Drosophila melanogaster: one gene and its partner. The protein of the gene in region 1 purifies or fractionates together with the protein of each later gene. This does not show direct contact. Each region holds a gene or a part of one and is shown in the gene's direction. Other genes may lie near its edges. The genes, in order: ldbr and CG13484.

Region 1 (4,325 bases):
GGTAATCGCGGCACTCTACTATAATCCCCAGTTGCTGCTGTCCATTCTGGACAAAATGTCCCAGCAAAACAACGACTCTATCAGCGCGCACTTTATCAAGCAGTGGCTTCACGACACGGACTGTTTCCTAGGGTAAGAATGGACATGCTTTTTAATGATCTAGATAGTTTATTGTTACGTTTTCCAGCATCCACGATCGCAAACTTTGCGTCCTGGGTCTGTGCACCCTCATCTCGCTGGGCGAAGCCAAGCCCCAGGTTCTGAGCGAAGTGGCTGGAAAGATTGTGCCCGCACTTATTTTGCTTTTCGATGGTCTAAAACGCGCCTACGAGTCTCGTGCTCAGGAGGAAGAGGAAGATGAGGAGGAGGAGGACGGTGACGACTGTGAGGAGGCTCTGTCCAGTGACGAGGATGACATGGACGAAATGGCACCGGACTATCTGGATAAATTGGCCGAATTTGCCAAAACCAAGGGCAATGAGTCGGGCTTCGAAGTGAAAGCCGAAATCAAGGACGACGATGCTGACTCGGACGGTGACGCCGAGGAGTCTGTGGGTGATCTGAACGAGACTGGACTGGAGTCGTTTACCACGCCCATCGACGATGAGGAGAACGAAAGCGCCATCGATGAGTACTGGACGTTTAAGGAAGTTATTACTGGTAAGTTGTGCTGAATTTTGTACACCATTGGAAAACTAACTAATAACCTAATCTTCGCCATCAGCACTTTCTGCACAAGACCAAGCCTGGTATGCGCTGTTGACCTCCAACCTCACACCTGAGCAAGCCAAGGCGCTGCAAGAGGTGGTGGTGACGGCTGACCAACGCAAAGCCGCCAAGGAATCGAAGCTGATCGAGAAGCAAGGTGGCTTCGCCTTTCCGCAGACTGCCGTGCCCACGTCGTTTAAGTTCGGCTCCTAAGAAACTGAATTGACCAGATCACCAGACACTTGGTTCGATTTCTGACTTGATTGTTTCTCATATTCTTTCCAAAAATAACAAAAACATCAAACAAAATACATCTGGCATGCTGATGATGGCTTTGAAGGCATTCTCTTGGTTTTCGTACACTCCGTGTACCCATGTATGCTGCGACAATCGGTCGATTAATCAGATTAAAAAATCGATCGGTCGAGCGGCGACGAGACCGCACTATATTTATTGTAGATTTATATTTTATTTCCTATTTTGTGGCCAGGGCGGCCAACTAAATTATGATAACTTAAGTCCATTGTAAATCTTTGTATGTAAACGAAACGAAACGAAACGAAAAACAAACACGTCAGGACGAGAAGGTCTCATTAAATGAGATTGTGCCCACCAGCACGCCCCCGTAGAACTCCAAAAAAAAGTTGGCATCTAGGTCAGAGAATGAGAATTCAACGCAGAGCATTTCACATACATTTTCTTTATACACACATACACGTATATTCTGTACTAAATGAAGCGATATTTTTGAAAAATAAAAAAAAAAAATTTTTAACGTTTGAACTGGAGAAATCTTTTTCTTATTTGTGTACCTTTTTGTGAGGTATTTAAACCGTTCAGGGAACGAATTTTATAAGTACATCTAATATATATAATTATATTTAATAATGCTAAGTGCTGAAAGACTTTGTTTCCGGAAGATTTCAGCAGTTTAAATATTGGCGGTCATTAAGTAGAGTTATCGATAAGAGCGTCCATCCTGTCGTTCCCCAAAGACGTTTTCTCACACTGAATTGCCGATCGATAAGCGATATCAGAACGCGTTATTTGTTTGGACAACCGGTTGCATTTGTTTACAACCAAGTTTTATTTATAAAGTAGTAACTTACCTTTATTAACCATGAAAATAGCTGTCGAAGGATGTGCACATGGCGAGCTGGAACGAATATACGACACCATAGAGGGCATCGAAAAGGTTGGCGGCACCAAGATCGACTTGTTATTGTGCTGTGGCGATTTTCAGTCCACCCGGAATCTGGAGGATTTGCAGACGATGGCTGTACCAAAGAAGTACCTGGATATGTGCTCCTTTTACAAGTGAGTAGAGTTTCGACAGCTTGTGGATCAGGAGGTAATCCATTTATTTTTAAAGATACTACAGTGGCGAGCTGGTAGCACCAGTGCTGACCATATTCATTGGCGGCAACCATGAGGCCTCCAATTACCTGCAGGAGCTCCCATACGGCGGTTGGGTGGCTCCAAATATTTACTACCTTGGTTATGCCGGCGTCGTCAATGTAAACGGTGTTCGGATAGCTGGAATAAGCGGAATCTTCAAGGGTCACGACTTTTTGCGCGGCCATCACGAATTCCCTCCGTATACCGATTCCACGTGTCGCAGTGTCTACCATGTGCGGCAGCTAGAAGTCTTTCGGCTGAAACAAATTTCCGGGCGAGTTGATATTTTCCTGTCCCACGACTGGCCCACCGGCATCTATGAATACGGAAACAAGGCGCAACTGCTCCGCAAGAAACCATTTTTTGCTGCAGACATGGAAAGCGGGAAGCTGGGTAGCCAGCCACTGGAGGAGTTACTGAAAGCGGTCCAACCGGCCTACTGGTTTGCTGCCCATTTGCATTGCAAGTTTGCCGCTTTGGTGCCGCACAATCACAGCCAGAAGCTAGGAGATGCTGAATCTTCCTCTTCCAGCAGCAGCAGTGAAGATGAAGACGAGGAAAGGGAGAAGGTAAAGAAAGCTGCTCCTGTACCTCCACCATCCAAATCTGTTCCCGTGACCAAGTTTCTGGCTCTCGACAAATGCCTGCCACGTCGTGCTTTCCTGCAAGTGGTAGAGGTACCCAGTGACCCCATCGAAGGCACTCCCCGCCTGGAATACGACGCAGAGTGGCTAGCCATCTTGCACAGTACAAATCACTTGATTTCAGTGAAGGAGAATTATTATTACCTGCCCGGAAAAAAGGCGGGAGAGTTTACAGAGCGATCAAACTTTACCCCCACTGAAGAAGAACTAGAAGCAGTGACCGCAAAGTTTCAGAAACTTCAAGTCCCCGAGAACTTTGAGCGCACAGTGCCAGCTTTCGATCCCGCGGAGCAGTCTGATTATAAGCACATGTTTGTGGATCAACCCAAGGTTCAACTAAACCCCCAGAGCAATACGTTCTGTGCCACTCTGGGTATAGACGATCCGCTGTGCTTAGTTTTGTTGGCGAATGGCCTAGATCTGCCTGCGGTGGGAGCTACCGAATGCAAGGATAGGGAAACAAAAAGTTCTAAGCTGCAGGCGGTGGAAGAAGACGTGGCTGAACCATTGGTTACGCCAACTAAAAGGAAACTTAACTTATCCCTGCCAGCACCTACAACTGCAGCAGCTGATACCACCGATGAAAACGTGATAGACCTGCCCGAGGAGGAAGCTGAAGAAGCAATTATAGCAACGGAAACGCCTCATGTAGAGGAACCTGCATCAGTGCCCGCTAGTCCCAATGTGAAAAAACTTAAGCGACGCAATCAGAACATTTACCAAGCGCAAGAAGATTAAACCCAAACAAATTCCGTGAAAGCGGAGCGATTTATACAAAAAAAGGAGGCAATTTTATTTAAATAACACAGAAGATACTTGGCTGATACGATCAGCCAACGGTTGATTATGGGCAAATAAATAGGAGGGTGTTAGCTGCTGGGAAGCGAGATAACGACTCACTGTGTCCCGCTGGCATTATCGGCATAGACCTCGTCGGCGCACTGAAAAGCGGCCTGCATCACCGATTCGGGCGTGTCCACAACATCGCAATAGTATGTATCCGGTGATGGGATGCAGTGCAGCTGCACCTGGCTGCCCTCTGCCGTGGCGCGATAGAAGCGACACTGTCGCGGTCCATATGTTGGCATATCCGCATCGTATGGCGGACTAAGAATGTCGAAGAAAGCGGCTACGCCGCTACCAATTTGGGCAATCTGGTGGTAATTTCTCTTTCTAGGAGTCAATGTGGCACACGGACTAGCCGGCGTGACCAATTTGGGTTCCTCGACATTCACCTTCACCACTGTTTGATGGGGGTCATAGGTGAGCGGCTCATCCGGGCCTAACTGGTGCGAAAAGCTGTCCACCATTAGCTGACCCCAGATGCAGCGCAGCAGACCGAACATCATGGGGTGATCGTGCAAGGGAATAGTGCTCGCTCCGCGCACTATAAACAGGCTCATGGAGAAGCGATCATCCTCGAATATATGCATGTAGCTGCAGGGTGCCCGATGGCTTCCCACGTTGCGAAAGAGCTCCTCGCGGAGGTGCAGATCCCGGTAGGTCAGCTCATCCGTCAATTGACGCAGATGCTGCAAATTCGCATTGAAGCTGGCGTGATTTGCCCGGTCGAAC
Region 2 (3,468 bases), 5.9 Mb from region 1:
ACAAACTCAGAGATACTCACAAACACCAGCGAACACTCACGTTTCCACAAGTGTGTGTGTGTGGCTGACAAAAATTCAAGCGAACAAGTCGCCGCACACTCGATGAGGTCATCAATCACATGCAACAAATGCGAGGGCGGAAAAAAACGGGCTGGGGCAGGAAGCCAATCCTTAAGCTTCTTTCTATATACCAGCTACTACATTCGCCAAGCAAACTCAATTTTTCAAATGGATTTTTGAACATAAACAAACATTTCTTCTAGTGTATTAAAAAATATCACCGATTCAGAAGAGGGGGTGTATTTGTTTCTAAACATTCGATTCGACTATTAAAGCTTAACAGCGTGAAAAAGATTTTTCCAGATAGATTTGTATTCTAGAACCATTTACGCATTTCCATTTATTTATTTAAATTTATTTCTTGATACCAAGCTGATCACCCAAAATAGCTTACTCGTTCATAAACAGAAATGTATATTAAAATCGTATGTTATACAAAATATATGTATGAAACATATTGTAAGCTAATAAATGAAAGGAATTTTATTTGCCAAAAACTATGCAATGCTTTTTGGAAAGGGATTGCTAGTTAATTAATTCTACAAGGCGTTATTTTTAAACTTGGCAGAAAGGAATTATATTTTTTAAATCTTTGAAGTATAAATGTATATTTGAAATATATTTCTTTGAGACTTTCCTGTCATTTAGGATTTGAATGGTACATGGAGCGTAAAATAGGTAAAAATAAATAAATAAATTTGTATATCTAAAATTTAGCAAATTATAATGAATTTAATGAAAGTATAAAATTGTTCTTTAAGCCATATTTTAATACCTAAGTTTTTTTTTTGTCATGGTATTCGGATTAACTTACCAGCACTTTGGCGAATCGTCGGTCCAGCTCATCTGTGGTGGGCATGGGTTGCTGGCTCCGGCTCCGCAGGCTCGGCTGCCTGACATGTTGGTACTGGGAACTGCAGCCGATGTCGTAGCGCAGATCCTGTTTCTGCAGCGTGCCGCTAGAGATGGAACCGTTGTGCTGGTGGCCATTGCGCATCGAGTGATGGTGCGCATGCGAATGGGGATGCTGCAGCTGCTCATCGGCGTCCACATCAGCGCTGGTGATGGTTCGCGATTTGACGGCGCCCATTATGGTGGCAAAGCGACCAGAGCCCGAAACCGAGCCGGAGACGGAGCCGCCTCCTCCTCCTCCTCCGCCGCCTCCTCCCCCTGGATCCTGTAATCCCCGGGATCCGGATCCTCCGCCGCCGATGGCGTCCTCGATGGTCGCCGCTTGGAGCGCAGTGCTAAGGGACAGCGAGAGGGTACCCCATACAGTCCGGCAAAGGGCACGCGTGCGTTCCGGGCAACTTGAAAGTTGCTCTTTGATTCCGTTGAAGATATCCAAAGCGGCTGCTGCCTGTTTCTCTGCTATCGAACGCTCAGAACAACTGGCCAATCGAAAGTGACTATTTTCCGGGCGTGTGTTTTCTTATTTTTGGTTGCCTTTTTTGTTTTTTGTTTAATTTATTTATTTTTTTTTTTTGTTTTGAAAGTAAGTGTAAAAAGTGCTGTGTTCCAAAATTTTGATAATTTAATTTACTTCTTTCTGACAATGTAAGCAAAAACACAATTTGTTGCTACTGTTGTTGCTGTTGTTGTTGCTGGTGGTGCAACGGCGGCACTCACACAGGCACACAGCCACTAGCACTCACACACACACACACCTACAGCAAGACACGGATGCAGGCACACAAACACAGACAAAGGACCAGATTTCGATGAAAGGCTCCTGCGGCAGGCGACGCCTCTTGTGCTTTGTTTGCAGGTTTTTCCGAGCGAGGGACGTGCGAATTGCTTGCAATTTGCCTTACACACCGCATTAGACTCGGTCTGTGGGCGATAAGTGTGGGAACCGAGAGCAACTGCAGTTAAATGCACTTTATTTTGCCGACCGACCGCACGACAACCGCGCTACACGAATATTCGGGACAGTGTGACCGAACTGGGTCTGCGCACGGAAACCAAAGACTGGCGGGAAAACACCCTAAATGTGCCGAAAACTGCGCTTAGCAAAGTTTTAAGCCAGTTGATTTAATTAATATGCATTTTTGTGGTAATTGCCAACGGTCGCACTTAAAATAAAAAAACATTTGTTTTACATTTCGGATCCAAGGAAATAAGCCATTATTGGCTTAAATAAGCTTTAACGACTGCAATCATGAGCACCCCTCGCAAGAACTATAACAACCTGCCGCCCTACTGCCCACAAGGCGGCCAGTACCCATCGCAGTCCGCGGATTACAGAGCGCAGCAATTCGGTGGCCAGCAGAAGCCACAAAATCCAAACGTTGGCTTCTACGAGGACAAACAGGGCCAGCAAAATGTTCCTCATTTCTACCAGAACAAATCCCCACAGGAGCCGCAGCGCCATCGGCCCTACGGTCAGGGCAGGAATTTCGGACGCGGCGGCAGCTTCAATCGCAGGAACCAACAGAACTGGGATCATCCGAGGAGCCACCAGAACAGGGAACAAAACCAGAGCGGCAGCTCCTTCGGCCAGTACTTTCATCCCTCCATGCTGGAGGATCCTTGGCGGGAGCTAATGGAACGGCACGAGGCCATCCACGGACCCAGTACTAGCCGAACTTCACCGAAAGAGGTGGCGGCTTCCTAAAATGTAGAATACAACACTAAGAGCTAGTTAAGCCCTGTAGGATAATTTCCCCAAAGCAAAGAAAGAATTTTAATTTTAGCTTTCCGATATTAAACAAAAGAATGTGTAAACATAAAAATGGTTTCATCATGAGATCCGAGCCTGCTTTTGAGTGGCACATTACGTGCTGAAAACCGCTCCGATGCCTTCAAGAAAGAACTATGGCTAAGGTTGTAACATTTTATACATTTAAGCAACAGTTTCACGTGAATGAAACCCGTGTGTATACTTAAAAATTTAAGACTACCGTAATGGAACACCCCTCAGTGCAATGGGGCTCCCCGAGTGAGCTGCTAATAGTGCTGCTGTTGATGCCGCTTCTTCTCCAGATACTTCTCCCAGTCGACGGCAACGCGATTGTAGATACCCATGGCGGCACGTGCATCCTCCACGGAATTATGCTCGCCCGTTTGGATCTCCTGACCCAGAACGGCCTTTGTCAGGCGTTTTAAGCTGGGCGTGTGGGTATTAGAGATGAGTTTGCACAGCGGCTTATAATGCGACGTATCACGAATGTCATGGAACGGATGGCGGATGCCCAGTACGGCAAGATCGTTGCGCAGGCCGTGTCCCACCAGAATGCGGCCATGTATCAGCTTCATCACTTCGTTTTGCACGGCGGCAAAGTCCTCACCGTTAGCGATGTCCTGCGGCCGAATGCCGGACACGCTGGTGCGGTAGTCGGTGACCTCCTTTCGCGGCTTCACATACTTGTCCAGCAGCACGTGTCCCATGCGATTCACGATGGACAC

Evidence for each region.
Region 2: the proteins of ldbr (region 1) and CG13484 purify together in Drosophila melanogaster (affinity purification with mass spectrometry, with the first as the bait; one large-scale study listed by BioGRID). This does not show direct contact.

The regions. Positions count from the first base shown.
Region 1 is NT_037436.4:8,120,091-8,124,415, forward strand, and holds ldbr (lariat debranching enzyme), read left to right. Parts: upstream 1-1,736; 5' UTR 1,737-1,828; coding exon 1,829-2,025; intron 2,026-2,080; coding exon 2,081-3,488; 3' UTR 3,489-3,525; downstream 3,526-4,325. Other genes in the region: msk (moleskin), read left to right, coding at 1-132, 188-660, 725-921; CG7550 (uncharacterized protein), read right to left, coding at 3,647-4,325. UniProt on the Drosophila melanogaster protein: Cleaves the 2'-5' phosphodiester linkage at the branch point of lariat intron pre-mRNAs after splicing and converts them into linear molecules that are subsequently degraded. It thereby facilitates ribonucleotide turnover.
Region 2 is NT_037436.4:14,051,750-14,055,217, reverse strand, and holds CG13484 (uncharacterized protein), read left to right. Parts: upstream 1-2,138; 5' UTR 2,139-2,221; coding exon 2,222-2,677; 3' UTR 2,678-2,790; downstream 2,791-3,468. Other genes in the region: Frl (Formin-like), read right to left, coding at 875-1,150; CG6833 (uncharacterized protein), read right to left, coding at 3,010-3,468.